2 linked regions of the Neurospora crassa OR74A genome follow. The protein of the gene in region 1 purifies or fractionates together with the protein of each later gene. This does not show direct contact. Links are inferred from orthologs where the notes say so. Each region holds a gene or a part of one and is shown on either strand. Other genes may lie near its edges.

Region 1 (3,429 bases):
TGGATAACGGAGTGCTTGGACGGAATGTTTTGTTGGGTTGCTCGGGTCAATTGATGGGTGCTTTAAATTGCTAGTTTTTTTTTTGCTTTTGTCAACGTAAGCTCGTTGTTATGGAAATTTCCCCTCTCCTACTACTGTCTTCTGTTTAGTCTGTGCTTCATGTGATAAGTCCCAAAGAACAAGTGTCTAGAGAGAAATCAAGGGATTACCATAGTCGACGGCTCTGGCGTGAAGTGTACTCGGTGTCGTTGCTTTACACTACACTGCTGCGCATTGATCTCTTCTTCGGATGAAACTGGCAATTCACCACTTTATAATCTAGAGTAGACCTCACTTCTCTTGTAACTCGTTACGGCCACTCAGATTGTGCTCAATAGCTAGATTGTGTTAAAACAGATGTTCCGTCATGAAATTCTTGGTCCTTTTCGATCGCCGGCCGTAAACAACACGACCGTGCATACATATGGAGGCATGGATGTATTTTGAGTAATCTCCTTGGAGCGTCATGTTTTGCAGAGAGATGAAAGACTGTGTTAGCAAACCAGCAAGACAGAACGTAGAACACACTTGCGATCGTCACGATGTGCATATAGGTATGAGGTGAAGCGCAAATTCGATTCCTCTAGCCGTCTAAGCCCACACAACATGGAAACAAGATAGGTATATAAGACACAACCTTAAAACAAGACAACATTAAGTTACCACCGGACACACTGAACCGTGGCGACATGATTTTGAACCCATATTTTTTCTCTCTCTTCCGCCGAACCCAAGAAAAAAAAAAGCCCGGACCAGATAGACAGGACACTCGTCCTATTTTACTCAAAGGTAGTCTTCTTGCCCTGGTGAGCAACAGGCGCACCAGTAAGTCTGGCAACACTGATATCCTGAGCCATCTTGATTTGACCATTACCGCCTTCTTCCCTCTTCTTGTAAGGAACCCTCTGTGGCCTCTCACCACCGTCTTGTCCTTGCTTCTTGCCGCCCGCAGCGCCCTTGCCTCGGAACCGCTTGTCGTATCTCGTCTTGTCGTCCTCGGCCAACTCGATCTTGAGGGTGCGGCCATGTAGCTGGTTGACCCACCACTTGCGGGTCTTTATCCTCTTTTCCGTTTCCTTCTTTTCCTTTGTCTTTTCCGCGTCGGCGTTGTCACCGTCGGCTGCGGCTTCGGCTTCGGCTTTTTGGTCTTCATCCATAAAGTCCTCCAACTCGGGAATCTCCTCGCGGATCTTGACGAACCCCTTGACCGCCCACTGCGCGGCTTCGCCCTCCTCAAAGTTCACCCACCCGTACCCCTTGCACTTGCCGCTGTCCTCGAACGTGGCCACCTTGACCCACCGGATGGCGCCGCACTTGTCAAAGTGGTTGCGCAAGTCGTCCTCGGTGGTGTCGAACGAGAGGTTGCCGACAAAGATCTTGGTTGAGCCGGCGAACTTGCCGCCTACTAGCGCCTCGTCCTTCTTTCCACCAGCAGCGCCCTTGGCATCCTCATCGTCTTCCTTCTTCTTCTCCGGCCGTCCCTCGAACGACGTCGCGTCCTTGATCAACAGCTTGCGCTTGTACCACTCGGTCTCGCTGAGAGCAATGGCGGCGACCTTGGTGGCCAGCGAATCAAAGTCGACGTAGGCGAAACCGCGGTTCTCGGGCTTCTCCTTCTTGGGCTGGCCGGGCTGCGCCTTGGCCGTGGGCATGTGCACGCGCGTGATGGACTCGGGCGTGATGGAGCCGCCGCTGTTGTCGACGAGCCATTGCTTCAGTTCGCTCTTGGTGACGGTGAAGCGCAGGTTGCCGATCCAGACGCCGTGGGGGGACCGTTCCTTCTTTTCCTTCTTCTTTTTCTTGTCCTTGTCGCCGTCCTTTCCGGTGGCGGTTTCGTTATCCGAGTTGTCGTCGGAGTCATCACCCTTGTCGGAGGAGGGCTTGGTAGGGAGGGTCTTGCCCTTCTTGAGCAGACGCTTGGCTTTCTTGGAGGGAGGCTCGGGGGCGGTGACGTCGATTTCGATTTCGGTGAGCTCGGCCTTGCGCTTCTTGGAAGATTTCTTGGGTTTCTCATCGGAGGAGGCGGCGGCGGCATCGGCATCGGCGGTGGTGTCCATGGTGTCGACAGTCTCGGCGGACTCGGCAGGCTCCTCTGTGGCCTTGCGCTTCTTGGAGGATTTATCCTTCTTCTCCTTCTTTTCTTTCTTAGACTTCTTCTCGGAAACGAAATCGGCGGTGGTGTCCATGGCGTCGACGGGAGCGGAGTCCTGCGCGGAGGCGGTTTCGAGGTCTTTTGTTGCTGCCATTCTGGCTGGCTTTAGCGTATCGATCGAGATGGTGTCAATAGGCAAGGGAAGAAAAGTGTTGGAAATAGCAATAAAATCAAGGGTGTTGATTCCTCGAATTTGCAATGTCTACAGAAGGAGGACAGCCGCGCATGGACGCTGAGATTCCCCAATTGCTGGCAGCACAAGATTTTGGAAAATTTACTTTGCGATAAGCGAAGCGATAAGGAAGGGGTCACTGTTCCTCGCTCCAGTTGCGGGTCCGGAGCTTGGCTTGGTCGGGTCTCCATCGCGCAAAATGCGGGGGAGCGGGCGGGACCTACCTTTCAACCTCCACTTTCGGGTTCTCCACTCATACCCCTCTGAATCTCGTGCCAAATTTGCAAAGAGCCGCCATCTTTTCAGATCTCCCGCCGTCATTTCATGATGGGACTTGCCCTTTGCATGATTGCCCCCTTTTTAATGCGATGTCTATGGGCCCTATCTTATAGTGTCAAACGTGTCTTGCTCCGATGACAGGTCTTGAAGTGCAGCCGTACTTGGGTCGGCAAGGTAGGTACGAGACCAGCGTGCAGAATTTCGGTACTCATCAACTGGAGTATGGTACAGTACACGTACTTTTGTACATTGGTCACAAATGGATGGAATATTTCCCCGACAATGACAGCCCACAGCACCACGCAATGGGCCAAATGTAGCCACGAGCACAAGTCGATGATGCCAATATGCTGACTTGGCCCCTCTTCCACTTGATCAATGCCAGGATGTCCCTTGCCATGAATAATAGCTCACGGTGTAGAGTACCTGTAGTAGACACGTCTGCCAAACTCATCTATATTGAGCAGAGTACTTGTTGGGTTCTTGAAAGACGGTTGGACATATTACTTTGCAGGGAGTCTCTTAAGTCCACATAGCAACCCTGAGCTATACAAAGCTGGACAGTCACTTCCGATGGGAAGCAGAAGCCCCATTCAACTCCAGGTCAGTCACTCCCAATGAAAGGGTATCAGATCCTTCGGAAGTTGTTCCAGAGTGATGGCCATTAAAGTCCCGCAGAATCGAAACGGAAACGACATGAGCGTGTTGCTGACGTTGCTCGAATCAACCCCCCGAAGCTTTGATCTGGATCGAGCGAATCGTCAAGGGAGCTGATCGGGTGGGCAGG
Region 2 (3,564 bases), on another chromosome or scaffold:
GCCAAACGGTCCAGGCCACCGGCATGGGGACCTTGTTGTTGACATGGTTCTGCGCCTCCAATCTCTGTTCAACTTCAACTTTAATCTGAACCCCACCCCGCCGGTTCTGTAGTGTATGTACACTACCAGTATACCTTTAGACTATGTAAAAGCTTTTCGTTTTCGCGGCGAATGACTCACGCAACACAAGTGAGGATCCGGCAGTCGAATTGGGGCGGCTTATGGTAAAAAGGGATAGGCAAAATTGCGGTTGCCGCGTGGCTGGGCTCACACGGCGTGCAACCCACCGACCGATCAAAAAGACCTCTCGCCGTCAAGATTGGGGGGACTTTAGTTCTCTGGCAGCTTCCAAACTCTTCTCAGTCTTAAATCCGAGAGGAAACGACCGATTGGCGCACCAAGTGCGAGCTTGTTTATCTATTGTCTTACCTTATCGGCCAAACCAAGACACTTTTCATTAGCTGCGTGCCGTTCAAGTCGGTACGTACCTATGTTGTTTTAACCCGTTCCCCGGATTTGCACTAAGCCCTACACTTGGCTTGACATCACACTGCGACAAATCATCATGTCCATCGGTGGCCGGTTGCGTTCCCGACAGCATCTCATCTTCTCACGCAATGAATTCAGGTGCCCTTGGCAGCATCACTTGACATCAAAGGAGGGGCTCGTCTTCTTTTCGTCTTGACATTCGTGTACTGTCCAAGGGCGTGTCGTTTGATGGCAACCACCGGGTGTCTTGTCTTCAACGGCCTGACCGTCGTTGTGAAGCCGCGGGACGAAACGCCAATACCGGTTGCTCCAGATTAGCTCACACATTCTCCCGTATATCCGTCAGACAAACGGGAGGGAGTCATCATTCGTGAAACCTGAGGAAGTGAGCCCATGGCGAAGGTTAACCGAACACGCGCTGTTTTCACACTGTCCAATTTGCCGGGATAAGTGAGCTGAATCCACGGAACTTGTTTGAATGCTTTCGATATGGTAATTCCCAGGTCAACCTCTTCAGGAAGGGCTTTGGTGTCCAAGCAACAGGCGCAAATGACTGCAGGCGAGCTACATAGGCCCGAGGACAACAGAGGATGAGTCTTGTGAGTTGTCGACTATCGAGGTGCGCGTTTCCATTAGACCTATGATTGTTTGTTGGAGACATGGAAAAGGAAAGCAACATAAGTGCAATTCATGTCTATCGTGATTATCGATAGAAGAAGTCAAGCAAATGTCAAAAGTTGGGAGGGAAACGATCAAAAACGAATCTCCAAACAACGTCGATACACCAGGGGAAACACAACAACAGGGATGCTGGCTGCACAGTTCAAGGTGGGGTAGGCTGGCCGCAGTCCATTTGGGTGGGGCCTGCCAAAATCAATTGTGGGGGAAAGCCTATCAATGGCTCACCGCCCAAAAGTTTCGCGCGGCAGAAAAAAAACAAAAGTCAGCGATAGGCGACTGCACCACAGCACCGCCGGCACGGCAGAGGCTCCCGTCCCGTCTGTCTGCGTATCAATTGGTGATTCTGATCCTTCCATTCCACTTCCACTCTTGATTCATTTGGGTAGTTGTCATAACCAAAACCAATCTACACCACCAACAACCATCTTTTCTTTGCCACCATAGTTCTGTCTCTGTATCGGCATTGTTATTGTGCGCTTCATCTCTTGTAATCTTTACATCCATAACCACCCACACATACCGTCAAGATGCCCAAGTCCAAGAGAGCGAAGGTGTACAACCTCACCCAGGTCACCAAGAAGAACCGCGAACAAAAGGAGAAGCTCTTTGAGAACATCCGAGAATGCATCCCCAACTACCAGCACTGCTTCGTCTTCAGCATCGATAACATGCGCAACAACTACCTGAAGGATGTCAGAAAGGAGCTGAACGACTGCCGGTATGTTTGTTATTGTCCACCTTCTTCCTACTCAGTAGCCGAATCCAATCGCAATCGCAATCATTGACTAACACTTCTTCTTCCCGTGCTACAGCATCTTCTTCGGCAAGACCAAGCTCACCGCCCGCGCTCTCGGCACCACCCCCGAGGACGCCCAAGCCGACGGGCTCGACAAGCTCTCCAAGTACCTGTCCGGCTCCGTCGGCCTCATCTTCACCAACCGCGACCCCTCGGAAATCAAGGACTACTTCGTCAACCTGACACAAGTCGACTTTGCGCGCGCCGGCTCCGTCGCCACGCGAACCATCACCATCCCCTCCGGTCCCTTGTACTCCACCGGTGGCGAGGTCCCCGCCGAGCACGACGTGCCCGTCTCCCACACGCTCGAGCCCGAGCTCCGCCGCCTGGGCATGCCCACCCGCATGGTCAAGGGCAAGGTCTGCCTGGGTGACGAGGCCGGCGAGGGTGACGATTACGTTATCTGCAAGGAGGGCGAGACGCTGGATTCCAGGCAGACGAGGCTGCTGAAGCTGTTCAGCATCTGCTTGAGTGAGTTCCGTGTCAAGCTGCTGGCCTACTGGAGCGCGGCGAGCGGGGAGGTTACCGAGTTGGAGAAGCCTGGTGAGGCTGGTGCTGAGGAGATGGAGGAGGATGACGAGTAAGGGATGTGTTCATGAATGATACCCTGAAAAGAGGGACGGTGTGTATGTGGTTGCACTTGACGAAGCGGTTGGAAAGGTTCATGATATCAAGAAATCTGCCGTACGAGAAGGGGAACTCCCTTCAACTTACAATAACGCAACATCGAGGGACCCAACAAGAGGGTGTGGGGAGGGGACCGGTCAAAATTTTTGCAAACGTCATTATTTCTCGTTTTTTTACTACTTGGCTTGTTTCCGTGTTTTTACATAGGGAAAGGTTTACGATGATACCATCTTTGTATGGAACTTCTTCTTTTGGGGAACATAAAACAACCGGTCATCTTAGTTTATGTATTACCAGGCGTCTTAAGAGATAGGAGGGGGCAAAGGCTCACGAATAGAAAAAGGCTTCAAAGACAATGTCCTGTATGTGATGCTGACTTCTTGTGATGTTCATCGTTGTGGCACGGCTGGTATAACGAATGATCAAGTCCGCCAAACCATTACCAAAGAGAAGGACAAAGTTGTGTCTATACAACAAAACTCGAATGTGCGCAGTATTTACTTGCAATATCACGGAACCACCAAGCCCTATGACAATTTTCCTCAAACGTCAAAAATAAGAATTGAAAGAGTAGAATAACCCAACCACAGAGTGCTCGAAGAGCTAGCAGAGATGTAAGAAGGCAATACAATTTTCGAACCTGACATGCATCATCATCATCATCTCCGCATTCCACTACACAAACTTACCAATTCTAGAATAGTTTTTCAAGGCCCTTTCCATGTTGACATCGGACACCAAGTTTCTTCCTCTTCTTCTTCTTCTTCTCGCTCAAAAGCGAAATGAAACCAGGTCAAATTCATTCAGTCTTTAGGATATGCAAAAGGCTGATGTATAACCCCCCATCTCCCACCCGCCCTCCTCCAACAAGCAAACAAGCAAGGAAGTCTGGAACCCGTTCCCTTCCCCTTTCTCCAAAATCAAGTACGTTGTAGCGGTAACATCAATTTCCTCCACGCTACGAAAGAAAA

The links.
Region 2: the proteins of NCU04273 (region 1) and NCU07547 purify together in Saccharomyces cerevisiae (affinity purification with mass spectrometry; 3 studies listed by BioGRID, with this or other methods). This does not show direct contact. The link is inferred for Neurospora crassa OR74A from reciprocal best matches to the Saccharomyces cerevisiae genes NOP13 and MRT4.

What each region holds. Positions count from the first base shown.
Region 1 is NC_026505.1:5,457,022-5,460,450, forward strand, and holds NCU04273 (RNA-binding protein), read right to left. Parts: upstream 2,470-3,429; 5' UTR 2,286-2,469; coding exon 819-2,285; 3' UTR 601-818; downstream 1-600.
Region 2 is NC_026503.1:4,411,926-4,415,489, reverse strand, and holds NCU07547 (mRNA turnover protein MRT4), read left to right. Parts: upstream 1-1,462; 5' UTR 1,463-1,697; coding exon 1,698-1,888; intron 1,889-1,982; coding exon 1,983-2,550; 3' UTR 2,551-2,945; downstream 2,946-3,564. UniProt on the Saccharomyces cerevisiae protein: Component of the ribosome assembly machinery. Nuclear paralog of the ribosomal protein P0, it binds pre-60S subunits at an early stage of assembly in the nucleolus, and is replaced by P0 in cytoplasmic pre-60S subunits and mature 80S ribosomes.